Linked DNA regions of Mus musculus. The protein of the gene in region 1 purifies or fractionates together with the protein of each later gene. This does not show direct contact. Links are inferred from orthologs where the notes say so. Each region holds a gene or a part of one and is shown in the gene's direction. Other genes may lie near its edges.

Region 1 (11,237 bases):
AGGTTGACAGGTAACTGCAGAAGCCAGGTGTCATGGCGCACACCTTTGATCCCAGCACTCAGGAAGCAGAAACAGGAGATTTCTGAGTTCAAGGCCAGTCTGTCTGGTCTACAGAGTGAGTTCTAGGACAGCCAGGCCTATACACTGTCTCAAAAACAAAACAAACCAAAATTTTAAAACCTCCATGGACACACCACAGAACATGTATGTGCACTTTGCACAAAATAAATAAATAAGGTTAATTAATTAGTTTATTTGAGGGAAAAGGGTCATAGTGAGAAGATCAGAGAGACCCACCTCTCCCAAAGGGACCTATGTAGAAATTGAGTTCTGTGAGAAGGCTGTTAGATCACTGTTAACATTAATGAGGCACTCCATTATTACAAATTCTCATTTTAAAAAACACTTTTTACCGGGCAATGGTGGCACACTTGGGAGGCAGAGGCAGGCAGATTTCTGAGTTTGAGGCCAGCCTGGTCTACAGAGTGGGTTCCAGGACAGCCAGAACTATACAGAGTGTCTTAGTCAGGGTTTCTATTCCTCCATAAACATCATGACCAAGAAGCAAATTGGGGAGGAAAGGGTTTATTCAGCTTTCACTTCCACATTGCTGTTCATCACCAAAGGAAGTCAGGACTGGAACTCAAGCAGGTCAGGAAGCAGGAGCTGATGCAGAGGCCACGGAGGGATGTTTCTTACTGGCTTGCTTCTCTTGGCTTGCTCAGCCTGCTCTCTTATAGAACCAAGATAACCAGCCCAGAGATGGTCCCACCCACAAGGGGCCTTTCCCCCTTGATCACTAATTGAGAAAATGCCTTACAGTTGGATCTCATGGAGGCATTTCCTCAACTGAAGCTCCATTCACTGTGATAACTCCAGCTGTGTCAAGTTGACACAAAACTAGCCAGTACACAGAGAAACCCTGTCTTGAAAAACAAACAAACAAACAAACAAACAAACAAACAAAAACCAAAAACCAAAAAGAAACCCTAACTTTTTTTTCCGTTTTTCTTTGTGTGCCCATGTGTTTGCTGGTACCCATAGAGTCCAGGAAAGGGCATCAGAGCCACAGTTATGGGTGGTTGCAAGCCACCAGAAGTGAGTGTGGGGAGGGACTCTTACTCCTGTCCTCTGTAAGAAGAGTGCCTGCTCTTAACCCCCAAACCATCTTCCAGTTGTATAAATCTTTATTTTAAGGATTCTTTTAAAAGAAAATGTATATGTGACGTGCTAGGCATGGTGGTGCAAGTCTGTGATCCAAGCACTCAGGAGGCAGAGCTGGCGGATCTCTGAGTTCAATGCCAGGCCTAGTCTCTATGGCAAGTTCCAGACTACCCAAAGCTACATAGTCAACAAATAAACAAAAAACTCCTCTCTCTCTCTCTCTCTCTTTCTCTCTCTCTCTCTTTCAGACAGGGTTTCACTATGTAGCCCTGGTTGGCTTAGAACTCTTCATGTAGACCAGGCTGGTTTAATTCACAGACATCCACCTGCCTCTGCTTCTAAAGTGCTGGGACTAAAGGCGTGTGCCATCACACAGTGCTAATTTTTAAAAGTTACATTTGTGTGTGTGTGCACTGAGGCACCTGCCGTGCAGGGAGCAGGCACTCAGGACTCAGAGGACAACAGAGAGGAATAGGTTCTTTCTTTCTTTCACTACACTGCTCCTGGGGATGGAGCACGGGCTGCCAGGCTCGACAGTAGATACTTCTTGCCTTGATAAGCCATCTCACCAGCCTTCCCAGATTTGTATTCTATAACACTGGGGTGGGGGGCAGTACAGAGAAGGCCATCCCCTCCTGTCTCCCTCTTAATGTCACCATTGTCACGGCCTGTCAGCGGAACCCCGTGGTCAATAACAGTGCTGGTTTGTTCATTTGAAGGAAGTAGCCATGGGCACAGACTGTCTGTGGGCTGTGGCAGTTTCCCTGTCGTCTTGTGGGCTCCCTCCTGGTCCTCCTGCGGGAGCTCAAGTTTCTTTCTGTCTTTCATAACTCTTTTTTTGTTTTGTTTTGTTTTATTTCCTTCTCCTAGAAGAGCATATGCTCCAGACGTTTCCTTAAGGCCTGGTATCTGGGAGGTAATCCTTTCTGAGAACTTATTTATCAGAAGACATTCTTACTTTATGCAACTGATCAAGGATTTTTGGCCATGTGAGGAATTCTAGCTTAAGCATAATTTTTCTAAAATGTTTTCATTTATTTTTGTTTGCTTTTTTTGAGACAAGGTCTCACCATGTAGACCAGGCTGGCTTCAAGCTCACAGAGATCTGCATGTCTCTACCTCTCTACCTTCTAAGTGCTGGGAGCTGGGATTCAAAGTACAGTATGAACCACCATGGCCAGCCTAAATAGCCGTTTTTTTTTTTTTTTTTCTTTTCTTTTCTTTTTTTTTTTTTTTTTTTTTTTGGTTTTTCGAGACAGGACTTCTCTGTGTAGCCCTGGCTGTCCTGGAACTCACTTTGTAGACCAGGCTGGCCTCGAACTCAGAAATCCGCCTGCCTCTGCCTCACAAGTGCTGGGATTAAAGGCTGCGCCACCACCACCCAGCTTTTTAATTAATTAATTAATTGTTTTGGTTCCTTTTTTAAAAATGTACTCATTAAAACACTTTTATTTTACATTTTATTTTGTGTGGATGTCTGATGAAGACATGTACCCCAATGTGTGTGTGTGTGTGTGTGTAAACCAAACAATAACTTAAGAGTGTCAATTCTGTCTTTCTATTCTGTAAGTCCTAAGGATTGAACTCAGTACCTCAGGCTTGATAGCAAATGCCTTTGTCTACTGAGCCATCTCACAGGCCCAATTTGTGTGCATACAAAGACTCAGAGGACAGAGTTCTCTCCATCCACCTTTACCTGGGTTGCAAGGAGGGCACTCGAGCTACCAAACTTGCATCGCTGGACGGCAAGCACCTTTACTTCTTGAGCCGTCGTCCTGAAGGCGTTGTCCCTCAAATGGAACTGCTGAGAAACCCAAAGCCATTCTAAATTCCTGTCTCTTTAAGACTTTGTTTTCTCTTTGGAAGCCAGAAGGGTCTTATGTGTTCACATGGTTCTGAAGTTTTACAAGTTTGTACAGTGCAGTGGGGCAGATTTCCTTCCCTGTGGGCATTATCTATCTGTAAATGGTTTATCCTCCAGGTCTGGGAAATTCTCGTGGAATAGTTCCACAGATGCTTCCCTTAAATTTTTTGTTTTGTTTCTATTTTTTGTTTGTTTGTTTTATTTTTTTACTGTTAGGATATTAGGATGGCTGGAATTCCTGGTCTGGTTTCTTTTCTTTAAAAAAATATTTTAGATTTTGTGTCTGTGCTCACGTGCACACACGTGAATGAATGCAGGTGTCTCAGGGGGCCAAAGGTGTTGGATCGCTCTGGAGCTGGAATTACAGGTGGCTGTAAGCCATGTGATTCAGGTGCTGGGAACCTAACTCCAGTCTACTGGAAGAGCAGCTTGGCCTCTTAAGCTCCAGGAGGAGGGAACTTGCCAGGCAAGTGTGAGGAACAGAGCTCCAATCCAGAAACTAGTATACTAGGAGGGTACGGTGACTCACCTGTAACTCCGGAAGATAAAGATGGGATCTCCAGGGCAAGCTGGTTGGCTAGATTAACTGGAATTGGCCAGTTTTGTGTTCAATGAGAGATCTTACTTCAATATATATAAGGTGAACAGCAACTGAATACACCCAGTGTCAACCTTGGTCTTCTATACACATGTGCACCACACATGTGCCCACACATGAAAACATGCACACACACACACACCACAGATAACCAAAAATATCTTTAATGTTCTTGTCTTCTAATAGGCTACCTTATTTGTGAATGAATTATATGCTTACCCTATCATATCAGCAATCTTTAAAAGAATTCTTCTGACCTTTATCCTTCTGTTTATTATTTTAATGGTATGTATGTTTTTTTTTCCTTATATTTTTGTTTATTTAGTGCTCCCTCCCCACCCCCCACCCCTATTGAGAAAGTCTCATGGTAGGTCAGGTTAACGCTGGACGCTACATAGCCAGAGGTCAAACTTCAGATGTTTCTGCTACCTCCAGTCCAGAGCTGGGATTCCAGGTATGCACTACCTGATATATACCACATCTGTTTCATACCGTCGTGAGGTTCAATCCTAGGGTTTCATATCTGTATCTGCTCGGGGAAGCACTCTACCAATTGAGTTGCATATCCAGAGGTTGGACTTGAGGTTGATCCCCAGGATTCTACTGCTTCCGCCCACCAAGTGCTGGGATTACAGGTGAGCCACCAGGGCAGGCTGTGATGTGCTAGGGATGGAGCCCCAGGCTGTACATGCCGGCAAACATTCTGACTTGGCTACATCCCTAGCAGTTTCTTTTTTGAGACTGGATCTCACTGTGGCACGAGCTATACAGAATTTTCTAGCAGGATCTTACGCTACAGCATACTGTAGTTATCACATAACAAGGGGGCTCAGGAATCTCTCCATGGAGTTGGCACAAGTAGGTTGCGAGCGAACGGGACCCTACCACTGACCCGAACCCGTAACCCCAGGATTCAGAGGGCTTCCTAAACCTGGTCACAACCGGGACGCTTTAGCGTGCCAAGATGGCGGCCGCCCCGCCCCGCGGCCGCCGAGCCCGTTCTCCGGCTGGAGCCGACTGTTGCCGAGCTTTCCCGAAAGCCCGTGGAAGCCAGGAACGGCGCGGGCGGGCGCGCGGGCGGGCGGGAGCGGCCCCGCCCGGAGCCTGGGAGCTGCGTCGACGGCACCGAGGGGGAGGGGAGGCCGGATGTGAGTGGAGCGGCCATTTCCTGTTTCTCTGCAGTTTTCCCCAGCTTTGGGTGGTGGCTGCTGCTGCGCTTCGCCTTCCCGTGCGCTGAGGGCCCGGCGGCGTGGACAGCAGTCCCGGCACTCGGCGCCCCGCCGCCCGCAGCCTCGCCCAGCGCTTCCCGAGCCCGCCGCTTCGCGCCTCAGCCACCGGCCGCCGCCGCCGCCGCCGCGGCCCACCGAGCGGCCCAGATGCAGGCCATCAAGTGTGTGGTGGTGGGAGACGGGTGAGTGCACGGCCGCGCCTGGCGCTCCGGACCCGGTGCCGCGCGCAGCGCCATCGGGGGCCCCCGCAGGCCCGAAAAGCCTCGAGCTGGCGTAGAGCGCGCGCCCGGCCTTCTGGGGGGCGCGAGCCTCCCACCCTCCCGGGCCTGGTTCCGGATTCTGGTTGGGGGAGGGCCTGGGCGAGCCGGCCGGAGGGAAAAGTGAACTCCACCCTCCTGCCTTCTTCCCGGGCCGGACGCCGCCCGTCGCCCTACTCGACTTGGCACGTAGGCGAGGCTGGTTTGAAGAATTTTTCTTGAAACATTTTTAAAAAAAATTTTTGTCTTTTGAGAAAGGGACGTATAGTTTCTTCATTTACTCAGGGTACCCCCTCGCACCCCCCCCCCCGAGAACTGGGATAGGTAACGGCCTCCAAGTCGGCCGGCCCTGGTCGATGCATGTTTGCACCAGTCACTTGGGTGACCTGGAACTTGGGAAAGGGCTCGGTTGCTTCGACTTGACAGGGTGTTTATAAAAATATTCATTTTCACACTTACGCCGAGAAAGTTACTGGGATGCTAGCTGAAGGAGTGTGATGAAGACTGTCCATTGAACGAAGTGTGGTTATTAAAAACAAACAAACCTTCTCTGAAGGCATTAGATATGGATGTAGCAGATCCAGCTCCCTGTGACTCGAGGCAATTCTTTTCGTGATTGACCGTGATGGTTTCAGGCCCTTGAGGGAGACAAGACTGGTCTTATGCAGTCCGTCCCGTTCCCCCCACCCCTTCGGTAGAAACAAGAATCTCAGTGTAATCGGAGCAAAATCGCGCGTCTCAGCGTAGCTTGTGTAGGTTCGTGTTAACGAGGAAGCTTGGAGATTTACCACCCGTTTCCTCAAACGCAGAGTGCAACTGGTCCACTTTCTAGTTCAGTCGAGTACGTTGCCAAACTTGCTTAATGCCTTCCACACTTGCAGTGAGCACTCGCCGCCCATGGGTTTATGAGCCCGTGGATTTATGAGCGATTGTTCAGCGTATTTACAGAACTCTACATTAGACTTTGGGATCGTCCCTGTAACTAAGTCAGCCAGACGGTCAGAGAACTTTATTTTTCTGCTAACATGTCTGTCTGTGGGATTTGTCTCGGAGACAGGAAGTCTCATGGATACGGTTCAATGTATTTAACGACACACTGGAATTTCATTGAGTAGGAATGTCAATGGTGCTTTCCTTTCACCTCCTAAAAGAAAGCTTTGTCACTTGGGGCACTTAGTTTGATAGTGAAGATGTTGTATTGTGGGGCCGGGGTCTTTTTGTGTAAATCCTAGTTTCTGACTGCCTTGGTCCCAACTCCATGATTCTCCTGTTAGGAGGACATGGACATAGGCGTTGGGCTTACAGGTATGAGCCACAGGTCTGCTTTAAGTGAAGGCAAGATGGCTGGGTCTGTCTGTCTGTCTCTCTTTTTGTATTGCGGTTGAACTATAACATAGCACCTTGCTGGGGAACGTTTAAAACTTACCTGAACTTTCCTTGAAAAGTTAAAAATGTTTCACCAGCAGTTTGTGGGCTGGGGAATACTACCACATTCCTAGTGTTTTAATAAGTTAAATTGCTCTGTCACCATCCTCTTTTCCTCCCAGAGCTTAGGGACCAAGGGGAGGAAGAGAGATTATAAGAGTCAGAGGTCAGGGACACCCAGCGGAAACAGTATTTTCTAGATTCCACTTGTGAACTCAGCAGCAGCTGTATAAGATCCTAGCCCAGGGCAGAGAGGGCCTAGGCTGAGTCGAGATGGGCCCTTGATGCTTCTAGGGGTGAGCCAGTCAGTGTTCTCTATGGATGTGGTCCTTGAGGGAAACTAGCCCCAGTGTGAGGCCTCACACTGTTGAGTCTATGGATGGGCAGCACAGATTGGACTAGGTGAGTTTTTAGGGCTGGGGTGGAGTTGGAAGGAAGTAGGGATGACTATGAAAAAGTACATTGAAAGACATCTCAAGACAATTACTTTTTAAAAAGGTAAATTGCTGCTGATCCAAACCCAAACCTTAGTGCTTGGGAATTCCTAAGACCTGACATGCACATGCAGCAGGTATGCCAGCACTCATTCTGTAACCCCCACCCCCAGCTGGGCCTCAGGGCCTTAGGTTTCCTGGCACGTCTGAACAGCTGAGATACGTCTTAGCCTGTTGCTGGCTTTAAAAAGAAAATCTAGTAAAAACGTGTAGAATGCCTCCTGTAGGGTTCATTTGGATTGCCACACCTTTCTTTTTCTCCCTACATTTTTTAATGTGTATGGGTGTTTTTGTGTGTATGTCCGTGCCGTATGTTGATGCCAGCAGAGGATCTCCTGAGACTGGAGTTACTGAGATCGGTGAACCATTAGGTTGTGATAGGAGTGGAACCCAGGCCCTCTGGAAGAATGACCAGTGCTCTGAACTGCTGAGCCATCTCCAGCCCTCAGTACCCTTTTAACCTACGGAGTAATCCTCAGCATATCATTTCTTCCTCAAGAGAGATGCCTCAAGGGAAAGTTAAACAAGCCTAAATGAGATGCTGAGTATGAAGAGGCTCTTGAGTGCCCGGTCCTTGTGGAGCGCTGAGCGAGTGCTGGTTACCGTTGTTGCTGTGCTTTTCTCTTCTCCTTTTCCTTTTCTTTGAGTCCAGTGCCTATTCTCCTGAGCCGTTCCCACTTGCTTCTCGCCTCACTACCGTTGTTGGGGTTTGTTTGTTTTCACTATGAGGGTCAGTGAAGAATGTTAGACATAAAAATGCAGTTCCTGGCCATGGAGTTTTCAGTCTTGTTCTAAACAGTGTATTGTGGTGTGTGTGTTTCTGTGTGTCTCTGTGTGTGTGTGTCTGTGTGCGTGTGTGTGTGTGTGTTCTCTGTGTGTGTGTGTGTGTGTGTGTCTGTGTGTGTTCTCTGTGTGTGTGTGTCTGTGTGTGTTCTCTGTGTGTGTCTGTGTGTGTGTGTGTGTGTGTGTGAAGGCACGCATCACCATGGCAAGCTTGTGAAGGTCAGAGGACCTGCAGGAGCAGGCTCTCGTCTTCCTTCAAGTGGATCCCAGGGATTGAACTTAGTCAGTCAGGCGTACCCTAACCTGCCTAGCCATCTTTCTACCCCAGTGTGCCTTTGTTTTTTAACAGAGTCTCACCTGTATATCTCTAGCTGGCTTATCTCTGCCTCTTGAACACTGGGATCAAAGGTGTGCATCACCATTTAACTGTATTTAAGGAAAACATAGTGATTGTTTTGCCTGTGTGAATATCTGCACCACATTTGTGTCTGGTGTCCACAGAGACCAGAAGACAGGGCATTGGATCCCTGGAACTGGAGTTAGGTATGGTTATGAACCACTGTGTGGGTGCTGGGAATTGAACCTGGGTCCTCCACTCTTTTGTTTTGGTTTGGTTTTTGGTTTTCCAAGACAGGGTTCCTCTGCCCTGGCTGTCCTGGAACTCACTTTGTAGACCAGGCTGGCCTCGAACTCAGAAATTCGCCTGCCTCTGCCTCCTGAGTGCTGGGATTAAAGGCGAGTGCCACCACGCCCGGCTGGGTCCTCCGCTCTTAACCATTGAACATCTCTCCAGACGCTGTATTTTTTTGTTCTGTACTTGACATTGATATTGTTGGGGCTAAGTGCCAAGAGAAGTGTACACATACCACAAGATTCGAGATTTGCATTCTGAAGGGCAATGCATAGTAAAACACTGGTTAAGAACAGTGGTTCCTAATTGTGGGTCATAATCCACTTGGGATCGAATATTAGATATTTTGCATAGTGATTTTTAACGGTAGCAAAATTACAATTAGGAAGTAGCAACGAAAATGATTTTATGGCTGGGGATCCACCATACCATGAAGAGCTGGATTCAAGGGTCACAGCATTAGGAAGGTTGAGAACCACCGTGTAGAGGTGTACATACATGGCTTTTCATGCCAATAATATTTTTCTGCTATTTAACAAATAAACTATATGCCTGAGGTATAGTTGGAATGCCTTTTATTCTGAAAAATTGAAAGCTGGCAAGCCTAATATCACATATAGTTATGAAATTTTACAGGGTTAAAAGCCGAGTGATGACAGATTGATTGAGGTCACACAAATTGCAAACTTTACCATTTAAAGTTCTTCTGAGGGATTACAGTTACAAAGTCTATTATGACCATGTTAGATTAATCGGCCTGTATTCTTGTGGTGGGGTAGTCCCTGTTCAGTAGTTAATTGACAGTGGATATAGAATCTGAGAGAGTTAAACAGAACCCATGTGTTTATCTTGGTGATGGTGTGGCATGTGCAGAGCCAGTGCCCCCCTTCCCCCCCCCCAGCCACCTCTCCCACCTTTTTTCTTTGTTCTGGTACTGTGAACTGAACCTAGGGCTTCACATTTGGTAGGTAAGTGTTATACTATTTTATTAAATCCCTACCCAGCCCCGGCCTCTAACTATTCTCCTGCCTTCACCCCTGAGTGCTGGCTGGCATCGCAGAGATGTGACATCACAACTAACTCAGTGGTTTTTAATACTATTGGTTTAGTTTTGATTGACCAGAAGGCTAACAAGCAAGTGTCTTGAAGTTTACTTCTTGTCTGTGTGTAGACTTGGGCTGGTAGTCTGACCAGTAGTGTGTCTAGCTTAGACACTGCTGTCCAGGAATTTTGTTGGTCAGCCTCCTGTGATGTCGTCCTTACAGGAATGAACACGAACAGTGATGGCATGGCCCATACATTGCCCAAGCTCTTCATGACTTATGTTTGACCTGTTACGCAAGGACTTGAATTCTACTCTGGCTTCCAAATTTAGATTTTATTATTATATTATTTTATATGCATGGGTGTTTTGCCTGCATATATGTCTGTGCACCAAGTTCCTGGTGCCCTTGGAAGCCAGAAGAGTTTTGGATCCCTTGGAATTGGAGTTACAGACTGTTGTGAGCCACCATGTAGGTGTTGGGAATTAAACCTGAGTTCTCCAAAACAAGTGCTACAGCCATTCTCTTAAGAGATGGAGCATCTCTCCAGCCCCTCTCTTTCATATCTCTTACACCTTCTTCCTCTCTATCTCTCTTTCTCTCTCTCTCTCTGTAAGTGGTTCTACATATGGAATCACTTATATATGACATAAATGTGTATCTTATCTCTCTCTACACACATACACATATCTTTCCACCCCTTCTGTGTGTGTGTGTGTGTATGTATGTATGTACGTAAAATAACTTTTGTATTTTAGCTCGATTGTCACTTGACAGTCCATAGTGATGTGTGTAGTGTCTTCAGCCTTCAGTGTCTGAGCAGCTTTGCACAGTCTCTAAGGGTGGCAGTGACTACACGTTGGTTATGATGGACCTGGTTCGTAAACTTGAGACTTTTGAATTGCTTTGTCTTTTCCTGATACTGAACTACTCTTACTGATTCATCTATTTTTCTGAACACACTCTTTCTTTCTATACCTTCTAGCTCAGAAATTAGGGTATTTCAGGTACTCAAGAAGCATGAGGAGGACACGTGTGTGGTTTGGGGAGTGCACTCACATATGTCTACATGGAGGCAAAGGCATTTTCAGTCATTCTCCGCTTCGTTTTTTAATTATTTTAAAATTTTTGTGTGTATTTTTAATGCGTGGGTGTCATGTTTATGAATGCCCACAGAGGTCAGGAGAGGGCGTTAAATATTCTTAAGCCAGAGTTACAGGTGGTTGTGAGCAGTGTGATTTGGGAGCTGGGAGCTAAACTTGAGTCTTCTGGAAGAGCAACAAGCTGTCTTAACTTCTGAGCCATCTCTTCAGCTCCCACATTATTTTTTGAAACAAGGTCTCATGTAGCTCAGGGTCGCTTTCAAACTCCCAGTGTACCCAAGGCTAGACCTGAACTCTGGATTGTAAGAGCTAGACAGGCATGCATCACCATACCTGCCCTTGAGATTGACTTGTTGTTTGGATCTTGGGAATTTAGATAATAATAATTGCCTGTTCAGCATTTGATTTGCAGCTGCCAATGGATGAGTCCGGTTTGTCTATCTTAGGAACAGCTTTTTTTTTTTTTTTTTTTCCTTCGAGACAGGATTTCTCTGTGTAGCCCTGGCTGTCCTGGAACTCACTTTGTAGACCAGGCTGGCCTTGAACTCAGAAATTCGCCTGCTTCTGCCTCCCTAGTGCTGGGATTAAAGGCATGCGCCACCACCGCCTGGCTAGGAACAGCTTTATTTATTTATTTATTTATTTA
Region 2 (10,741 bases), on another chromosome or scaffold:
GTTTCTCCCTTACACAACTTCTTCCCTCATTCTCTCCCCATCCCACCCTGCCATATCAAGTCACTGCAGCATTAGGTACATCCTCTCCTGCTGAGGCCAGACAAGGAGGCTCAGTTGGAGGAACAGGATCCACAGGCAGGCAATAGGTTTAGGAACAGCCCCCCCCACTTCAGTTGTTGGGGGACCCACATAGACCAAGCTGTACATCTACTATATATGTGCAGGGGGCATGTGTAGGTCCAGCCCATGCTTGCTCTTTGGCTGGTGATTCAGTCTCTAGGAGACTCCAATGGTCCAAGTTCATTGACTGTTAGTCTTCCTATGGTGTGTGTGTGTGTGTGTGTGTGTGTGTGTGTGTGTCTTTAGTAACCTTTTAGCAGATAATACTTCAGATTGCAAAAATAAGGACAGAGATATACGTGGGTTTTACCTTTTCTGGCTAGCATAAACAAGCCCCTGGGTTCAATCAAGATGAACAACTGTGTCTGAATTGACACAGAACAGTGGCCGTCAGAGCATTAGTATACTGAGAAGAACTTTGGACTGCAGTGGGAGTCTAGAGTGGACATGACGGTTCTACCCTTAGCTTTTAGCTGCATTTGTATTGGTTTGTTCTCCAGGGGATCGTTGGATCTCTTTGGCCCTCAGCTTCTTGTTTATAAAGGGGTGATGAGTAGATAGATAGTCTTACCTTCCTTCCATTCCGTTAGGTTATGCTCTTATGAATAGTCAGGGTTTTTAAATTAGAATAAAGCCAATTTGTTTTAAGTTTATTAACTTTTCAAATTGAGATAATTGCTTTCTGCTAAAGTGAATTCTTACCATTCATATTTCTATTTTAGGGAAGAACTGCTGAAAAAACACCATCGCTAACTAAAAAAATCGGTAAATATGCCTATTAAAAATAAATCTGTTTAGTTTTGTGGCCAATTTATTATAGTATGTTTAATGAGGCTGCTATAAATTTAAGAATTTAATGAAGTGCTTATAATTTTATTCCAGATAGTTTTGTAGTGAGAACATTAATAGAAAGCCAGGTGCTGTGGTGGAAATCTAATCCTAGCACTCACAATGTTAAAGCAGGAGAATTCTGAACTTGTGGTCAGTCTGGATTGCATGGCATGGTTTTAAGAAAGGAAGGGAGGGAGGAAAATGTATTAAAACAACAAAGAGATTAGAAGTTTAGATTTTTACATTTTTATTTACTTATTTATTTAATCTGTATGGGTGGTCAGCCTTCATATATGTGTGCCATATGCATGCCTGGTTGCCCCAGAAGCCAGGAGAGGGTGTTAGATCCCATGGGGCTGAAGTTAAAAGTAGTTGTGAGCCTCCATGTGAGTGCCAGGAATTGAACTCAGGTCCTCTGGAAGAGCCAATGTTCTTAACCTCTGAGCTATCCCAGTAGTCTGTCTACTGTGTAGGCCAGACTGGCCTGGACCTGTCTCTTTCTGCCTCAGTTTCTAAGTGCTGGGATTGGGGTGTGTGCCCCCACATGCAGCTAAAGCCGATACTGTGATGGTGTTTGTTGTTGTTTGGTGCTGGTGACTGAGCCGTGAATAGTAAGTACTCTGAGCTGCATCCACTGCAGTTAGTCCTACATTCCTCTGAAGAAACAAAGGTGATGTGATCTACCCATGGCCATGGTATAATTTCGTTTTGTTTCATTTTGTTTTTAGAGACAGGATTTCTCTGTGTACCCCTGGCTGTCATGGAAGTTGTTTTATACAACACGCTAGCCTCAACCTCACAGAGATATGCCTGCTATTGCCTCCCAATTAAATGCATGCACTATTATAAATTGTTAATAGAACTAAGCACTATAACAGGGTCTTCTAAATTCCATAGCATATTGTAGATTTAGGTTTTTTTAAGATTTATTTATTATTATATGTAAGTACACTATAGCTGTCTTCAGACACACCAGAAGAGGGCGTCAGATCTCATTATGGATGGTTGTGAGCCACCATGTGGTTGCTGGGATTTATCAGAACCTTAGAAAGAGCAGTCAGTGCTCTTAACAGCTAAGCCATCTCTCCAGCCCTAAATGTAATTTTCAGTGTGATTATGTATGGGGGTTTGGTGGTGGTGGTGGTGGTGTGGAACGGAGTTTTTCTCTATATTTCAACTGTCCTGGAACTCGCTTTGAAGAGCAGGCTGGCCTCAAACCCCCAGATACCTTCCTGCCTCTGTCTCTGTCTCCAGAGTGTTAAAATTAAAGGTGTCCACCACAACACCTGTGCACTGGTGTTTGTTTTTTTTTTTGTTTTTTTTTTGAGAAGGGTATTTTCTGTATAGACCTGGCTGTCATGGAACTCAACTCTATAGACCAGGCTGGCCTCGAACTTAGAAATCCGCTTGCCTCTGACTCACAAGTGCTAGGATTAAAGACATGCACCACCACTGCCGAGCAGACACTAGTTCTTTTGGAGTTTCCATTTGTGGGTTTTCAGTTTTTTGTTTTGTTTTGTTTTCTTGTCTATTCTTTTCTTTTAAGATGTCCTTTTTCAATTGAAGCAGTATGTTTTAATTTAGAGTATCTGGTGAGTCCCTATTCCCTAATGTTGTAACATCATCTAGGATACTACAAATATTTGTAAATATGCTTGAAATGCAGAGCTACGTTATATTATTTGGAATGGACTTGGTAGCAGGTATAAATAACCAAGTTAAATCATTTTTCTCTAGCATACTTCTTTTTGTGGTTTCTCGAGATAGGGTTTCCTGGATGTCTTGGAACTTTCTCTGTAGACTAGGCTGGCCTAGAACTCAAAGATCTGCCTGTCCCTGCCTCCTGAGTGCTGGGATTAAAGGTGTGCACGAGCACTTTTCTTTTCAGCTTTGGAAATCAAAGGCACAGCAACACATATAATAGGCAAACACTCTACTGTTGAACTTATCATCAATATGATAGTCTCAAATCCCTAAACTATTTTACTGTTTAGTTATGTTAATGAAAATACTTCTACTATGTTCTTTCTCCACCCAACTTTGATTTCAGATGATACCATCTTCCAGAATCCTATGGTGCAAGAAGCTATACGAATGGGATTTAGCTTCAAGGACATTAAGAAAACAATGGAAGAAAAAATCCAAACATCCGGGAGCAGCTATCTATCACTTGAGGTCCTGATTGCAGATCTTGTGAGTGCTCAGAAAGATAATACGGAGGATGAGTCAAGTCAAACTTCATTGCAGAAAGGTATGCATTGTTTGTTTTTATAGGAAAATTCACCTTGTAGCCCATCCATTTCCTTTATAATATCCCCATAGAATAAACACTTTTACTCTTTGAACTTAGTATTATGGTTCTCTTATTTCAATGAACAACCAAAATTACAGCAGATAAGCTACTTCTAGACAGTTTTTCTTTTATCCTTTTTTCTTTCTCTGGGTGGGGTGGGGGTTGGAGACAGCTCTGTATAGCCCTGGCTGTCCTGGAATTTGCTATGTAGACCAGGCTGGATCTCAAACTCAAGTGATCCACTTGTTTCTACCCCACAAATGCTGGGGTTAAAGGCGTGAGCCCCACACCCAGCCTGAAGGCTGATTCTTTTCTTTTTTTTTAAGATTTATTTATGTGAGTACACTGTAGCTGTGCAGATGGTTGTGAGCCTTCTTGTGGTTGCTGGGAACTGAATTTTTAAGACCTCTGCTCGCTCTGGTCAACCCCGCTCACTCAGGTGGGCCCCGCTCGCTCTGGTCAATTATTATACATAAGTACACTGTAGTTGTCTTCAGACACACCAGAAGATGGTGTCAGATCTCATTACAGATGGTTGTGAGCCACCATGTGGTTGCTGGGATTTGAACTCAAGACCTTCAGAAGAGCAGTTACCTCTTACCCACTGAGCCATCTCGCCAGCCCTGAAGGCTGTTTCTTAAGAAGAGACTAGAACAATCCTTTTTGTCCTTTTCATACCCAGAGAGCTCAAATATGGCAGTACCTCTCTCTCTCTGATTCAAAACTCCTCAGCAGCTCTCAGAACCCTCAGAATCAAGTCTCAGTTCTTCCATGATTTGTCACATCTTTAAGGGTCAACTCTTGCCGACCTTCTGTATCTGGTCTGGTTTCCTTCATATTCAATTACCAGTTTTGACTTACGCGCTTATATGCTGTGCTCTGTCTCTTGCAGCATGCTTCAGTCATTTTTTTCACCTTCGTTTAATATCATTGTCACTGTTTAGCATATCGTGATTTTCTGTTTACTTATGTTCCCAATTTTTCTGTGAATATTGGGTGCCTAAAGTGTATGTATGTACTATTTATTTTATACCAAATGCTCAAGTAAGTGTTCAATAAGTGCTTGCTAAGGAAGAACAAGATTAAACTTGATTTCTAAACACGTTTTGGAAATAATGTTCCCTCCAGGACATAAATGCCATGAAAAGGAGTGATGGCAGCCATGGGGCACACACCTTTAATCTCAGGATTCAGGAGGCAGAGACAGGCCACGGCTAAATAATAAGACCCAGAATTTGTTTTGTTTTGTTTTGAAAAGGATATATACAAAGTTTAATAGGGAAATGCATTGTGTTCCCATAATGGGATACATCCAGTGAAATAGTTTCATGTGACTCGTCCTAGAAGTTAGAAAAACCTAGCAGAGCTAGTGCAGTTGATCAGTGGGTAAGGTGCTTGCTTCCAAGCCTGAAGATCTAACTTGAGGACTAGAAACCTGGGAACTGTATGGTGGACAAAGAGAACCAACTCCTGAAAGTTGACCTCTTCACTTTGTCACATGTGCCACAGTGTATGCGCTCACACAAATATAAATACATGTAATAAATTATTTTTTAGAAGGAAAGAAAACTTGTTTGTGAAAATGCCACAAGAGGTAGGTATGTGGCACAATGAATGGTATACAGTATCCTGAATTTTCAGGATGCTAACCACCCCCCCCCACACACACACACACACACACACATCCCAAAGGGGGAAAAACCTTCCAATTCTCATTTGAAGCCAGATTTATAAACCATTAGTGTACAGTGATTACAAATATAGTTAAAATATGTAATTTATTTGGAATAATGCCCAGCATATAATATTTATGTTCTATTACTGTTGATTATTGTTGCTGTTATCATATATGACTACAAATCATAGTTTTGTGGCATATTTGTTAGCATTTCACAAAATCTGTTTTGGCAAAGGTTCAGCTATGCAGCTACTTCAGTATCCTCTAATTACACCCAAATGTTTTTGTGTGGATAGCCTGCCAACATCTTAAATGTACTTGCAACTGTAAAGCCTTTACCTTCTTCTCTATTTCCAATAGTTCTCACTGCCTCCTTAACCCTGACAAACCCAACTAACTTTACCTGCGCTTTCTCTCTTCAGCCCTCACATCGAAGCACTAAATCCTACCTGTCCCACAGTAGAAGCAGCCTTCAAATAGACCCCTTCCTGGAATTACCCATGCCTTTCAACATGTTTGTACAGTTCCCTCATCTTTGCTTTTTCTGCCTGGTCATTTGTTGCCACACCACTGCAGTCCTGCTTATCACGATGCCTTCCCTAGCCACCCAGACAGAAGAACTTGTTCATTTTGCCCCAGAGCACTCTGTATGTAACTTGATTATAGTATGTTCTACTTTGTTCTTACCCTCTCTGGCTGTATCTCACAGCCTCTCCCACTAGCACACAAGCTACTTAAGAATTGCTGCTATGTCTGAGTCATTTTCGTGTCTCCCAGGACTTGAGTGTCTGGGACACAGGAGGGGGTTCAATGTTTCAACGAATTTAAACAACAAAACCAAAAATTAGTATATGTTGTTTTTCTTTTTACACAGACATTAGTACTGAAGAGCAGCTAAGGCGCCTACAAGAGGAGAAGCTTTGCAAAATCTGTATGGATAGAAATATTGCTATCGTTTTTGTTCCTTGTGGACATCTGGTCACTTGTAAACAGTGTGCAGAAGCAGTTGACAAATGTCCCATGTGCTACACCGTCATTACGTTCAAGCAAAAAATTTTTATGTCTTAGTGGGGCACCACATGTTATGTTCTTCTTGCTCTAATTGAATGTGTGATGGGAGCGAACTTTAAGTAATCTGCATTGCATTCCATTAGCATCTGCTGTTTCCAAATGGAGACCAATGCTAACAGCACTGTTTCCGTCTAAACATTCAATTTCTGGATCTTTCGAGTTATCAGCTGTATCATTTAGCCAGTGTTTTACTCGATTGAAACCTTAGACAGAGAAGCATTTTATAGCTTTTCACATGTATATTGGTAGTACACTGACTTGATTTCTATATGTAAGTGAATTCATCACCTGCATGTTTCATGCCTTTTGCATAAGCTTAACAAATGGAGTGTTCTGTATAAGCATGGAGATGTGATGGAATCTGCCCAATGACTTTAATTGGCTTATTGTAAACACGGAAAGAACTGCCCCACGCTGCTGGGAGGATAAAGATTGTTTTAGATGCTCACTTCTGTGTTTTAGGATTCTGCCCATTTACTTGGAATTTATTGGAGTTATAAATGTACTTATATGAGTATTTTTAAGTGATTTCGTCATCTCCTAAAAGATATTGAATGGTAGACTACCATCTAACCAGCATGTACTGACATGGAAAGGCAACACAGATATAGTTAAGTGTAAAATACAAATGGCAAAACACTGTATCTAGTTGGAGCCAAATCAGCTTGTGTGTATTTTGTATCTGTACAGGACAAAAAGGTTTGAAAATATAAGTATCACACTCTTAAATGTATTTTTTCTTCAGGGGGTGGGGGGTGGGTCTTAGAGGGGCTTATAGAGCCCTTCACTTTATTTTTTCATTTTTTTCTGTTTAAAGGTTTTATAAGTATGTATTACTTTTATAATCAGAGTTCTTAGTAAATATGTTGCTGATTTAAAGGCTTAGGCATGTTCAAACGTCTGCAAAACTACTTATCGCTCAGTTTTAGTTTTTCTAATCCAGGAAGGCAGGCCAGTTAACTTTTCTGGTGCCAATGTGAACTTTAAATGTTTTTATTTTACCTGCTTTGTGGATGAAAAATATTTCTGAGTGGTAGTTTTCTGACAGGTAGATCATGTCTTTTTATCTTGTTTCAAAATAACTATTTCTGATTTTGTAAAATGAAATATAAAATATGTCTCAGATCTTCCAATTAATTAGTAAGGATTCACCCTTAATCCTTGCTAGTTGAAGCCTGCCTAAGTCACTTTACTAAAAGATCTTTGTTAACCCAGTATTGTAACCATCTGTCCGCTTACGTAGGTAAATGTAGACGCCTGGTGTATATGGCTTGTAGTTTTAGTGTTGGCTCTCCGTGTTGAGATTCTTTCTCAGTGTCATTCTGTGTCCTACAAGTTTCATGTAGGTTTCGATGTTAGGATGGTTAAGATGTATATAGTACAAAATGTTCAGTCTTTGATTGTTTTATGTTTGTTTGTTTTCATGACTAGTAATGGTAGTGGATACTTTAAAAATATTTTCTGAAGATCCTTAAAACCTTGGAAATTGTAACATACTGAGAAGAGTGGTTGTTTGAATATTTTTAACAACTTGTATAAGTCAATATGAATACAATCAAAAGCTAAAGTGCTTCATAGAACACGGGATTTACCTTAAGTAATTATCATGAGAGACCTCTTGTAAAGACTGGTCTATTTTACTACAGAGAACAGTTTGAGAGTGAAACTGTTACAATTTAGACTTTTTGTTGTATTTTCTAAGAGAAAGAGTATTGTTAGGTTCTCCTAACCTCTGTTGACTACTATGGTAAGTGATGTTATTTTAATTGCAAATTTAAATAGAAACCAACAGAATTAAGTAACTGACTGTCTCTCTCTCTCTCTCTCTCTCTGTCTTCTTCATGAAAATCCTTAGTTCTGTATACTGCCTTCTGCTTAGATTTAGTTATATGATCATTAGGTTACATTTGATCTAAGTTGACTAAGATTTCAATTTCAATTTATATTTCAAGCATTCTGCCAGGGAATAGTTTTAAAAATTGTTTCCAAGGCACTTCAGGTACAAGTCATATAGGTAGTTTGTTTAATCTAGTCCTTAGCCTAGGACTCAAGGACTGAATGTTTTCAAATAACACTTTTCTTGTTCTCAGAGCCTCAGTTCATTAAAACTCTTTTAAAACCTGTGTGCTGAGAGTTAAGCAAGACCTCTTTTCTTGTCTTCATGAGTTGCGAAATTGAATTCATGGAGCTGATGTGGCTAACAAGTTTATTTTAGGAATTGTTTAGAAAATGCTGTTGCTTCGGGTTCTTAAAATCACAGCACTCCAACTCTAATCAAATTATTGGAGACTTAGCAGAGCTGGTCTGAAATCACACTAAAAAAAAAAAGGTACTGGATCCTTTCCAGTATGGTTGTGTAAAAAATGGTCACTCGGAAGGTCACAGAATAACCGGCTCTGAATCACCACCCCTGAGAGAGTTCAGTGTCTGCGTGCTGATGGTCTTTTGCTGTATAAAGTTCATTCTAGAATTTTGAAGTAACCACCCGTTTTACTACATATTAGTCATGTGAATTTTGAAGTTATTTTGTAATAGTTACTTTCATTTGTTATTTACTGTGTTGATCAAGATGTGTGTGAGTGTTTAGCATTTATTAAAGTATTGTCTTTCCTCCTAGACTTTTGCCTCTTCCTGTAGTTAGGGGTAGAGGTGAGGTGAGTGGAGTGACTACAATGTGATTCGCTGGGGTAGGACAGTTTGTTGTCTTGTTAGTCACAGTGTGTTGCTCTGTTTTTTATTTTAGTAAGATTTATATTTTGAGCTCTCTGAATGGAAAGTGCCACTGCAACCTTAGCTGCATGCATTGTTCCCATTAGACCTAAGTCTTCCTGGACTTCTGAGTCCCCAGATACTGGATAAAGGAAGAGGAGAGATGGAGTAGCCTGTCTGTCACTGCTATGAGAGAAGCAAGAAAGTGGGTAGAGAAATACTTCACATTTTAGTCACATCTTCTCTTTTTAAAAAGGTAGCCATCAGTGAAGGAAAGAACTAGTCAAAAATAGGCTTGACAACCTGAATTCAGATCCCCAGAACGGGCATAAAAGCAGCCAGGTCATGGTTAGTGCACTCCTTTAATCCCAGCATTTGGGAGGCAGGGGTAGACATATCTGGGTTTGAAGCCAGCCTGATCTACAGAGTGAGTTCCAGGACAGGGAACCCTGTCTTATTCATAAAAGAAAACAAAACAAACAAAAAGCTGAGCGCACTAGCCCAAGCACCTGTAATCCCAGAATGCCTACATGAAACAGGAAGTAGCTAGGAGAATGCCCCAAAGCTCATGGTCAGTTAATGGCTTATGTATTAATGAAGAGGCACCATGGTAAACAAAGTGGGAAGGTGAGAGCCCACCAACATCCACAAGTTATCTGCTGCCTCCACACATGTAACATGGCAGGTAACCACTTACACCCAGACACATACACAAAAGAGAGAAGACCAAGAGTGTTAACACAAGAACATCTTATATACTCTTAAGTGTTAACTCTCATCCTACAACTTAGAATCCTCCATGGCTTTGTCTTGATGGAAGATCTTAGACTAAAGCTTAAAAGAGGCCCAGAACTATTACTCAGTTAAGAGTACTTGCTGCTTTTTCAGAGGACTTAGGTTCAGTTCCCAGCACCCACATGGACAAAGACACATGTAGCTCTGGTGCCCTCTTTTGGCCTTCAGGGGTGCATGCATGTGTGTATACATACACAGTCATACACAAGTACACATAAAATAAAAGTAATCTTTAAAGCTTAAATGAAACTCTTTATGTTAACTTTTACTCACTATTATTTGTTTCTCTGGATGCTTCTTGTAACAAAGCTATAAATTGTAATAAATAGTTCAACCCTTTAAAAATATTTAAATTACCTTTTCAAAAATTAGAGAAAGTATTCTTACTAAATTCAGTCGAATTTTTTCCAATAGAAACAGTCAACTTATTACCATCTTAATATTTTAGTTTGGCTCTGAAACATTTAGTGCAATGTAGATTTCTTCCTTATATAATAAAATCACTGACTATCAGAGCTAGAAATGACCTTAGAAAGTCACTTATTCACACTACCACCACCACCTTCATTTTATTGTTGAGGCAACTTAAAGGAAAGGTGATTGGCCCGAAGCTATATAGCTGATTAGTGATAGATTCCTTACTGGAAGTCTCAGGTGTTTGTCAACTCTTCATTCTATTACACTCTTATCAGGGCACAGTAAGTGGTGCTTTGTAGTTTCTACAGTAAGACGGTTGCTGATACTTTCAAATTAAACAATATGACAGTAATGCTTGAGTGGTAAAGTTCTCTTTTGGAGGCTGAAATTTGCAGATGTGAGTACAGCTGTTTGGCATTTACTATGTGCTTATGTATTATTAATGAGCATTTAAGATTACTCTGTAAGTATATTTTATCACTGTCTATACTTACCAACAAATTTGCATTTTGATGTAATAATGGCTTTCGTGTAATTTCTGTTTTGGCATTTTTGTTATACTTTACCTGAAAAAAAAAAAGACCAATTCTTTTGTCATGTGTTGTACTATATTTGTGAATATAATTTTATGACTCGTTTATGGAAACTCCTTTATGGAATTGCTTTCTGCTCTATAATCTGTCATTTGTTGTAGATTAAAGCTTATTTTTCTGTGAATAAGACTTATTCAATAAAGCACTATTCTTTAAAATGTTATCTTCTTTGTATTTGATTTGTTTTGTTGAGAGGATCTCATGTATCAACCCAGGCTACTGGCCTTAAATTCC
Region 3 (10,741 bases), on another chromosome or scaffold:
GGCAAAAGCCTCTGTCTAATGAACCATTTTGACAGACTGCCTCGCATATCTCGACTCTTGAACAGTGTTCACGTTTCAAAATGATGTCTTTCAAACTGTAGGGTGGGATGGGGTTTGAGTGTCTTCCTGTGCAGCTCAGACTGGCTGTCCACTCTAAATAATCCTCCTGCCTCTGCCTTAGCCTTCCAAATGCTGGGATTACAGATTTATGCCATTGTGCTTGCTTTATTCAAATGGCTTATCTACCACTCTGCTTCCATTATCTGCCTCTCTTCATATGTCTCTTCTGACCTAACAGTCTATGAGCATTCTCTCAGGCTCCATTTACCTCTTCCTTAATTCTACTTGAAACTCTTCCCTTTTCTGTCTCTGCCTTTGGAAGTCCTGCCTGTCTGTGAGGCCAGGTTCACTTGCCATTTTCTAAGAACCTAGATTCCTCAATGATAAAAAAGTTTTTTCTTAGTGCTAGTAGACAATTTTTTTATTTTTCTTCTGCCCATATTTATACTAGATAATAAACAACTTAAAGGCCTTGTTTCTTTTCATTTTTGGTTTTCCTATAATGCTATATAGAAGTTAGCACTTGAGAGTAATGATTGTTCTATAATTTTATGACTGAAACTATGAATAGAGCAGAAAATGAGTTTTTCTAAGTAGAAATAAAATACAAGGTTAAATAGTTCTTATGAGCACACTGATGTTTGGGTGCTGAGAATTCTAATATAGTGCCCGAATTGAATTAATTATCCAATTCTTATTACTTAGTATAATTTTTAAATTGAGTTTTTAGCAAACTTTCAATAAAAAAAAAATGACTTGATTTGAAGATCCCAAACATAATTTTTAGCAGCTTTATTCTTGTGTCATAAAAGATGCTCATCTAAAGTGTACAGTTCCATGGTTTTGAATATAGTCACAGAGTCATGGCCATCACAGGTCACAATTAGTTTTAGAATAGTTTTGTCATCCCCAAGTGCATCAGTACCCAGGGCAGGAGCTCCCCACTTTCAGCTCACTCCCCATCTTAGATGATAGCTACGTCTCTGAAGTCATCCCTCTTTGAGTACTGTGTGTAAATCATTTAACGGAGAGTTTTTTGATTTCGATGTCTTTAACTTAGCATGTTTTCATGGCCCACCATGTTTCAGCATGTGTTAGCACAGTACTTTATTTTTTAGTGTTTTATTGGATGAATGTACTAGTTTGTTTATTCAGTTATCAATTACAGATGTGGGTTGTCTTTACTTTCTAGATGTTGTAAATAATGCTACCTTTTTATCCATGTTGATGTTTTTGGTCTCTTATATAACAAATGGATTCTGTAGAAACTGTTTAGCTTTGAGGAACCACCAAACAGATGGGCTGTGGCGAGACTGGTTTATATTGCTAACAAGGAGGGTGCCAGGGTTTTCTCTATCCAGTCCTTGTCTTCATGTTGAGAGCCATTTTAGTAGGTGTGCAGAGGTATCACGCTGGTTTGGTTTGCATCTCCTTCATTCTCGAGGCTGCCACACGTCTGTGATGTGTCTGTATGGCTTCTTTAGAGAGAGGTTTGTCTGGATCCTTTGCCCATTTTTAGACCGTGTGTCGCCTGTGTTTGCAGAGTTGGATCTCTCCTTTCACTCTTGCCTGGCCTGGGGGTTGAACTCCATCGCCGGGTTTATGCCAGGGGAAAATCCTTTTCCCATTGAGCTGTCACTGGCCTGCATCATTTTATTTTTGAACTATCAAGCAGTAATACATCTTCAGTAGAATCATGGTTCTGAGTTCTCTTTTCAGTTTCTTGCTAGTATCCAAGAATCACAGAACTCTTTCATTTCAGCGTACTTTGACTTATCTGTTTTTTCTTTTGTTTACAGTTTTGCTGTCAAACAAACAAATATTGTCTTGACAAAGGTCATCAGAATTTATGCCTGTATTTTCTTCTAAATTTTTGAAATTTTAGCTTTTACATTTATATCTTTGATGCACTTTGAAATTCAGTTGGTGTATTGTGAGCAGTGTGCGTCTCTGCAACTTAGTTCATGGTTGTTTCTATTTGAGCTTTATTATCTGTTAATATCAATGATAGCCAACTATGTATACAGGTTTTAATTAGAATACCACTCAGCATATCTTGAATGATTAAAATCTATGCATGATAGAAAATTATTAGATTGCTTTATCAGATTCTTAGGTTTTTAATTTTTTTCCTGTAATTAATTTGCTATGTTTATGGCTCTGATTAAGCATTGAATCCCTGAAGTTTTTCACTAAGTAACTGTGGATGTAAGCATAGGTTCAGTCATAATAACTGGCTTTCGGTGTTGACTCTAGCCAGGCTGAGCTGGTGCTCCTTCTGTAGCCAGGCTGGCCTTGAACTCTCAAGTGCAGATATATAGGTGTGAGCCACCACAACTGGCTTTCTTTCTCTCTTTTGACTTGATATTTTACTTCCATCTTTGCAAGACAAAAAGTATCTTTAGGATGATTCTGTGGAGCTTGCCACAGAGAGGCTGCAAGCCTTGTTTGCACAGTGGGAAGTTACAAAGAGCAGGGTTGGAGCGTTGTCTGGTGTGGGTTACCTGCACTGTCAGCCCTGCTTCAGCCAAGGTGCTGAAATCTTCTAGTAGGTTCGTGGGCAGACTGATGGACACCATAGACATTTTCTTACTAAAGTAAACTTTCTCAGACGTTTGTTAAAATATTTATCTCTTTGTAATTGCTGTATTTTGTCAGGTTGCAATGAATGTGTATGAGCTGTCCTCGGCTGCTGGGTTACCATGTGAGATTGATCCTGCCTTAGTCGTAGCTCTTTCCTCACAAAAATCAGGTAAAATGCATTCAAATATGGAGCTTTCTTATTAAAATTATAGGGCAGTCTAGGTATACACGTAGTATTTGTTTTTTAAAATGTCTTATGTTAAGCTTTATTCACCCATTTATTCATTTATAATTGGAATACATCAGGATTCAAAAGACAAAATGCTTTGCTTTGGAGTTTTTGCTATAGCTTAGTCATTACATCCTGTCCAAGCCATACTACCAGATGAAGCTGTTAAAGTCATTTGGTGTAGATAGATAGGGCGGTGCAAAGAAACAGTGCCCTTTCAGCTGTAGTGAGTTCAGGGAGAAGAGGAAGAAATGCATAATACAGACTAAGATGGAAGGACCAATGTAATCAGAGAAAAAACAAGCACTTGGGAAAAAGCTCCTAAGACAGTGAAAGCGAATCGCGAACTGTGCACTGTTAGAGAGCTGTGGTGCTGAGATCGGTGTCTCTGAAGTCAGTGAGTGTGAGAGAAGGGACTGGACACACTTGATATGGAACAGCTCTGCTGGGATGAAGACATAGTGCTTGTGTTGGGAAGCATGGGTAGGCCCTACACACTACACTGTAGCTATATATACCCCAGCTTGTGGAAAGGACTTTGTGAGTTGGAGATAGAAGAAGAGAACATTTGTATGCTGGTGGAAGGCAGCCCTTATGGTAGCCAGAGAGCTGGGACTAGAAAATGGTGTCCTGTTTTAATTAGAATAGATGTTCACCATAAAAAGTTGCTACATTATATAATACTGACCATTTAGAAATTTTAAAACCAGTTCTTTGAAACATAGTATCAACTATGTTCCAAATCTTGGTTTCTCTACAGTGTGAATAAGGTGGGGTGGTTTTTTTTGTTATTGTTGATGATGTTTTTTGTTTGATTGGTTTGGTTTTGGTATTGAAATGCCTTCTCCACCCTTTTGATTTTAATTTCTTTTTAAATTTTTCACTTACTTAATGTATATGAATAATTTGCCTGCACTTATGTGCACTGTGTGCATGCCTGGTACCCAAGGAGTGAAGACGAGGGCATCAGCCTCAGAGCGGGAATTACAGACCATTGGGAGCCATCATGTGGGTGCTGAGAACTGAACTCGGGTCCTCTGCAAGAGCAGCAAGTGCTCTTAGCCACTAAGCCCCTTTTCTACTCTTTTAAGCCAACTTGCAGTCATTGAGTTTATTAGTTTTCTTTTTAATTACACTGTTTTTCCTAATTCAAATAATATATAAATTATTGCTTATAGGTATTTTTATGATCAACCAAAGTTTTAAAAATATACTGTGTTTTTGTTTTCTTGTGATCAATCCATAGTTTCATATAATTGCCAACTGCTGGGTAACTAGAAGTTCTCAGATGTCAGATAAGAAGCCAAGTGCTAGACAGAGCTATTTAAATACGCTAGGTATTTTATTAAAGGTTATTGTTCTTATAGCTACTGAGTATGTTAGATACTTTCATTCATAACTGCTTCCTTCTGTCTTCTAGAATGGAGAAATAAGTAACGCAGTCCCCTTTTCAATACTGGTAACCTTTAAGCAGTGTATTTATATATTCTTAGCTAGCCTAGGGAAAGAAAGGAATTGTTTTTCTTTTAGTGAATTTTCAGATAATAAGATAAGAAATTTATAAATAGTAATATGTATGGTATTCTCATAATTATTCATCAGTTTTCAATTAGGAAATTTAAGTAGTTTATTACCTTTATTTTTTAGGTTAGATTATTAACTTTCAAATAATCTGGAGGAAAGCTTGATTTTCACTCCTTGATTTCTTCTGCAGAGAACATTAGTCCAGAGGAAGAATACAAGATCGCTTGTCTCCTGATGGTCTTTGTAGCAGTTTCCTTGCCTACACTGGCCAGCAATGTAATGTCACAGTACAGCCCTGCAATAGAAGGTACTTGGTTTACAATTGTAACAATGAAAGAACATTGGCTTTAGTGTTACATGTATTTTTCTCTCTGGGTAATGTTCTTTTCTGATAAAATAGTGCTCAAATTCTGCCAAACAGTAGCTTTGGAGTGGGCATCCTAATTTTCTGAACTGTGAAATGTTGTGTAGTTCAGCTGAGAGGTGCAGCAGAGGGTAGTGTGTGTGTTCAGACAGTGGGGTATTTTAGGGCCTGAGAAGGCGTGCCTTAAAATAACTTAGCCCTTATCATTTACAGTTCCAAGGGGTAGGACGAAGCATCATGTCTTTCTAGAGTGTTTGCCTACTAATGAAGTACTGACGTGGTCATTAGTTGCATCCTTGCTGGGATATTTAAAAACATGCATGCTCATAAAATAAAAAGAGTAAGTCACTGTGGACCCTAATTCTTAGTCAGTCATGCTGCCATTCGCGTGGTCTGAGGAGTCACTAAAGCATGCTGTCTGTGTGTTACAATAATATTTTGTGGTCATGCAGACTACACAGCCCTGTTTGTTCTCTCCCAGGACACTGCAACAATATACATTGTTTGGCCAAAGCCATCAACCAGATTGCTGCAGCTTTGTTTACAATTCACAAAGGAAGTATTGAAGACCGACTTAAGGAATTCCTGGCGGTATGTCTAATCAAATAGCTTGACATTTTACAAAGAAAACAAAAAGTTATGCCTATGTTATACAACAGTAAATTCCCATCATTTTTACATCTTATTTAGTGTTCTCCAAAGACATTTTTGTTCTCAGTTTATTAAGTATTAAATCTTGTTTCTTTTTTAATGTTTTGGTTTTAGAAAGATAGATTGCATCAAGGTTATCATTGTTTTCCCTCTAGCTTGGGGTCTTTCCTTCCAGAGCTCTGCTATGTGGCCTGTTTGCTGAAAATAATGTTTGAGAGGTGCAGCAGAGGGTAGTGTGTGTGTTCAGACAGTGGGGTATTTTAGGGTCTGAGAAGGCGTGCCTTAAAATAACTTAGCCCTTATCATTTACAGTTCCAAGGGGTAGGACGATTGTAGAGATTGTCTTCACATTCAAAAGATGTTTTTTTCTTCAAAGAAAGTGGAAGCCTAGAGAGCTAATGTGTTCTTTAAAAGATGCAATTTCGAAAAAACAAAACAAAACAAAAGGCCAGGCAGTGATGGCACACGCCTTTAATCCCAGCTTTTGGGAGGCAGAGAGGCAGGCAAATTTCTTAGTTCAAGGCCAGCCTGGTCTACAGAATGAGTTCCAGGACAACCAGGTCTACACAGAGAAACCCTATCTCGAAAAACCAAAATAAATAAATAAAATAAAATAAAATAAAATAAAATAAAATAAAATAAAATAAAAAAGGATTATTTGCCTCTCAGTTCCCAGACCTACAATGTACAGCTCATAACCACTTGTAACTCCTGTCCCAGGAACTGGCCAGCATGGGTACTACACACACACACACACACACATACACACACCACACACATTTATTCAGGTACTCACACGAAAAATAAAAATAAATATCTAAAACAGTAGCAGAAGGTATGTTTCCTTATTCCTACTTATTTGAAGAAATACTATTAATAGGTACAAAGTCAGCAATAAAAGTATGACTCACAGGGCTATGGCAGTTACGGATACTTACTGCTCTTCCAAAGGTTCAGCTCCTAGCACCCACATTAGACATCTCACTACCTCACTACAGTTCACTACAGTTCTTGGGATTTGATGCCCACTTGTACACAGTCATGAAGGCATATACATATGCACATAAACAAACAAACAAACCATAAAATTACATGTGGCTTGCTACCAAAAGAGAGTAATGTTAAATCTGTCACCAGACATGGTTTAGTGCAGTATTTTTCTTTACCAATGCTTCTTTTTCATAATTGCTTAAAGAACAGATAATTTAAGCAAAATGAACCCTAGAATATTTAGTTTTTTTCTTTGTTGAAAATCTTGTTGGTTTTTATATATATACACACACACACACACACATATATATGTACACATATATAAATACATATATGCAAATACAACAGTTATTTAAGAAGGAACTCAAGTTTGAAAACATTATTATAATTCTGTTGTTTTCCTTTTATTTACTTTACTTGGGGAGTTAATGTCCTTAAAATTACTATGAATACAAACCCAGATTGAAATTGCCTTATTTAGGATCTAAAAAGTACACAGTGTGTTCACCTCTCATGTATAGATTATGCTTTCTGAGTTCCCCACGCCAAGAGGGTACTTGAAGCCAGGAATAGTACTGAACTGTATGCATCCATGCACACACAGGAAAGTATTAGAGTACAATACATTATTAATGGAAATAATAGAAAGGTTTCACCAGTTTGCATGCCATAATAACAGTTAGGAGAGTGAAGTCCCTCGAAATGCTTTGTTGTCTTATGTCCACCCTTCTTGTGACCCTGAGATGACACTGGTGTGTGTGAGGTAAATGGAGGTGACGATGTAGACATTGGTGGACGTTGGAGGTGGGCTTTAGACAGTGCTTCAAGGGGAGGATCCTCTGCTTTGGGTGATAATGATCATTACCGGGAGAATATCTTGACTTGCTGCCAAGAGAGAGTAGTGTTAAGTGTGCCCATCAGACATGGCTGCGAGGAGTTCTTGGACATTAGTAGCAAATAACGGCGATGGCTGGGAATTCTCAACAGCCTTTAAAAGAGACCTTGGAAGGATATTGTAATTAGTTCTTACTGAATATGAAAGCAGTGGTGCAGAGGTTATAATCTTTCAGGGACCATGTGGCTGACCTCAGTGCTGTTTTCCACACAGAGACCTTACTCCTTTAATCTCCACCTTTAGAACCTATGCAGCGTAGAACACTTTGGCATACTTCAGTAACATGTGCTTGGTGCTTCTGCTCTCACTTCCTCTACTTTGTATTGTCTTCTACAGCCCTTGTGAGCTTTGTGTACTGCAGCATGGTCTTCACCAAGTAGTTCAGCAGGTCCTGTCCCACCAACTTGTCTTGTTGTTTTTAAGCGGTTTTCCTAATTTTCCTGTCTATCCCCAGAAAGCCTTCAAAACAACTCATCCATCACTGTATCCATGAGTTCCTCATATCAGTCCTGGTTTTACTAATCCATTGCCGCTTTAATGAATGTTATTGTGCCCACAATAGCAGATAGTTTTCAGTACTGCATTATATCCTGGGGTTTCCTTTGATTGCTAGTTGATTATAGTTAAATACCAGGGAGGTGGATATGGCCTTAATAAACTAAATAATACTCTGGTCAGATTAAAACATTCAGTATCACATTTTCCCCTCCCTCCCTCCCTCCCTCCCTCCCTCCCTCCCTCCCTCCCTCCCTCCCTCCCTTCTTTCATCATCATTTTTGGGATTTTTGAGACAGGGCCTCTATTGTAGTCCTAGCTGTCCTGGAACTCATGTAGACCAGACTGGCCTCGAACTCAGGCGTGCTAAGATTACAGACGTGGTCCAGCATTACATTTTTTTTTCCAGCATTACATTTTTATTGTCTCTTTTTGCAGAAGTTCAGAGTGGTCAGATGTTGTCTGTTAGTTACAAGGCTTTTAATTCAAACCGTCTTCCAACAATATGGCTGTCATTCACATTATAGTTTTTATTTCTGAGGACCTTGTGTCCATCACTCTATACAGTGGCATACACTTTGGCTATAACCTTCAGTTTGACATGTGGTGGCAGCATTAGAATAAATTACCTTCTGCAGATAGATTAGCTTTTCCTAGAGATTTCAGGATCTTGATAGAAACTTGTCTGCTGGGCTAGAGATGGACTGAGGCTGCCACAAGGGGACCACATGGGGGCGGGGAAACCCAGTTGCTAGAACATAGCTGGCGCTAGAGTGGGTGTCATTTATATATTTCATGAAACATTACATTCTCATGTGAAGGAAAGACCTTCTCCCCCCTCCTCCCCCCCTACCCCCCCTCCTCCTCCTCCTCGGCTGTACATTTGCAAGCAGCCATGCTGAGGTGTGGGCACTTGAACAGAAACACTGCATTACCATGTCATTCAGCAGGTAACTAACATGCAGGTATATACATAGTGTGGGTGTGCAGGACAGAGGGACAGCCCTGTTCCTGAGGAAGATGGAGCAGAGTCACACATAGAATGGCATGGAATTCAAAGTTAGAAACTGATTATTGGAAATTAGGAAATTCTGGAATTTTCTATTTTGCTTTCCAACCATATTTGGCCATTAAAAGCAAAACTATTTGTAAAAGGGGGGTGGCTGCTGTAGAGTATTATGGATCTTGGGAAGAGAAAACAATATGAATCATTTTAAGAAACAAACTTGAGCAAAAAGTTAGTTTTGACGAATATTTGATTATATGTATACCTTAATTGTTGATTGATAAGAGGTCTCTAGCTCATCGTACTTTACACATTGAATAACGGAAGCTTGTTGAAGGTTGAGTTGTACTGAGAATGGACGTGAACAGCATTTCTTTGCCAACCTCATTGATTACATGTGTGTTCTTTTAAGCTTGCATCATCCAGTCTACTGAAAATTGGCCAAGAGACAGATAAAACTACAACAAGAAATAGAGAATCTGTTTATTTGCTACTGGATATGGTATGTCTCATTTCAATTTAATTAACTTTTACTGATAACAAAATGTTCCAGTCCTTAGCACTCCTCTTCTTGGCAAGTGAAAGTTTTATTGGTGTTTTGTTCTGTTTCTTTTGTGATTTTTTTTTTCTCCATTTCTTGTGGTCACTTCACTCAAACCATACACTTTCTAAAAATTTCTGCAAAGACTTGCATTGCTCCTTTTTTGCCATAGGTCAGTAATAGGAAGTCGTAAGACCAAAGGTGAGTGTTAACTGTAAGGTTGTGTTCAGGCCTTTTATATTCCTGCTAAGCCGAGTTTAATTCTCTAGCTTGCCATGGCAGTGTCTGAGACTCTTTCTTCTTAGTTTCCTTTGCCTGTAGAGATCTGTGTCTATCTGAAGACTCAGCAGAACTCATGACTCCATTTCTTCCCTAGATGATCTTTCCCAATCACACAGGCCTACATTAGACTTTCTTTCCTCTTGAACTCTAGAATTTACTGCTTTCTATTTAATCATAGCTGGTCTTATTTTTTACTTTACTTTCTAGCTTGATTTTGAGCTTCTTAAAATGTACCATTACATTTGTATTACGTTTGTATTCACTTTTATGTTTAGAGTATTGCTTAAGATGTGTCTTCTATGTGTTACTATTGATTAATTGATAAACTTGAAAATATCATTTAAAAGTATATTGATAGGCTTCACTGTAACACATTTTCATTTTAGATTCTGAAGTAAAATGGTTTGTGTGTGTTTCAAATGAGAAGAACATAGAGTTGTTTTCTACCCCCATTGAGTAACTTGAATTTTGATATTTTTTTAACTTTTTCAGATTGTACAAGAATCACCATTCCTGACAATGGATCTCTTGGAATCTTGTTTTCCTTATGTGTTGCTGAGAAATGCATACCATGCTGTCTACAAACAAAGTGTTACATCTTCTGCATAGAGTACTTACTCAAGACAAGCACGAGTTTCTGTTGCCTTGTTTTATCTGTAAACTGTGGAACTATTTTACCTTAAAGCCTGAAAACAGTTTTGTGGATGAAATTTTCTTCATGCTGTTGTATTTTCTGATCATTGGCTTCCTAATATGGTTGTACTACAGTACATTTGATTGATTTAGTTATACATTCTCAAAACTCAGTGAATTCTATGATTTTAGAGTATCATTTGTTTGAAATACCATTAACACTATGTTTTTGATAACTGATAATGAAAAAACTTGCTTGTTTATTTCTGAAAAAGAACTGTATTTAGTGATTATTTTAGATAGTGATATGCTAGCCCCCATCTGTGTGTAAATTATTTCCTATAGGGAGAGTTCTGATCTGTACCTACGGTTCCTTCTGAGATGGAGACTGGATGTGCACATCGGTGATGCTTACGACTACATTTCTACTTTATGTTGAACATTTGCCAAACTAAATACCTAACGCGGTTTAACCTTCCACATGGCAG

Evidence for each region.
Region 2: the proteins of Rac1 (region 1) and Xiap purify together in Homo sapiens (affinity purification with western blotting; 3 studies listed by BioGRID and IntAct, with this or other methods). This does not show direct contact. The link is inferred for Mus musculus from reciprocal best matches to the Homo sapiens genes RAC1 and XIAP.
Region 3: the proteins of Rac1 (region 1) and Nckap1 purify together in Homo sapiens (pull-down; 4 studies listed by BioGRID and IntAct, with this or other methods). This does not show direct contact. The link is inferred for Mus musculus from reciprocal best matches to the Homo sapiens genes RAC1 and NCKAP1.

What each region holds. Positions count from the first base shown.
Region 1 is NC_000071.6:143,521,563-143,532,799, reverse strand, and holds the start of Rac1 (ras-related C3 botulinum toxin substrate 1), read left to right. Parts: upstream 1-4,806; 5' UTR 4,807-5,002; coding exon 5,003-5,037; intron 5,038-11,237. UniProt on the Homo sapiens protein: Plasma membrane-associated small GTPase which cycles between active GTP-bound and inactive GDP-bound states.
Region 2 is NC_000086.7:42,098,995-42,109,735, forward strand, and holds the end of Xiap (E3 ubiquitin-protein ligase XIAP), read left to right. Parts: intron 1-842; coding exon 843-885; intron 886-3,001; coding exon 3,002-3,202; intron 3,203-5,796; coding exon 5,797-5,990; 3' UTR 5,991-10,670; downstream 10,671-10,741.
Region 3 is NC_000068.7:80,500,783-80,511,523, reverse strand, and holds part of Nckap1 (nck-associated protein 1), read left to right. Parts: intron 1-2,718; coding exon 2,719-2,812; intron 2,813-4,586; coding exon 4,587-4,703; intron 4,704-5,241; coding exon 5,242-5,351; intron 5,352-9,209; coding exon 9,210-9,299; intron 9,300-10,112; coding exon 10,113-10,229; 3' UTR 10,230-10,741. UniProt on the Homo sapiens protein: Part of the WAVE complex that regulates lamellipodia formation. The WAVE complex regulates actin filament reorganization via its interaction with the Arp2/3 complex. Actin remodeling activity is regulated by RAC1.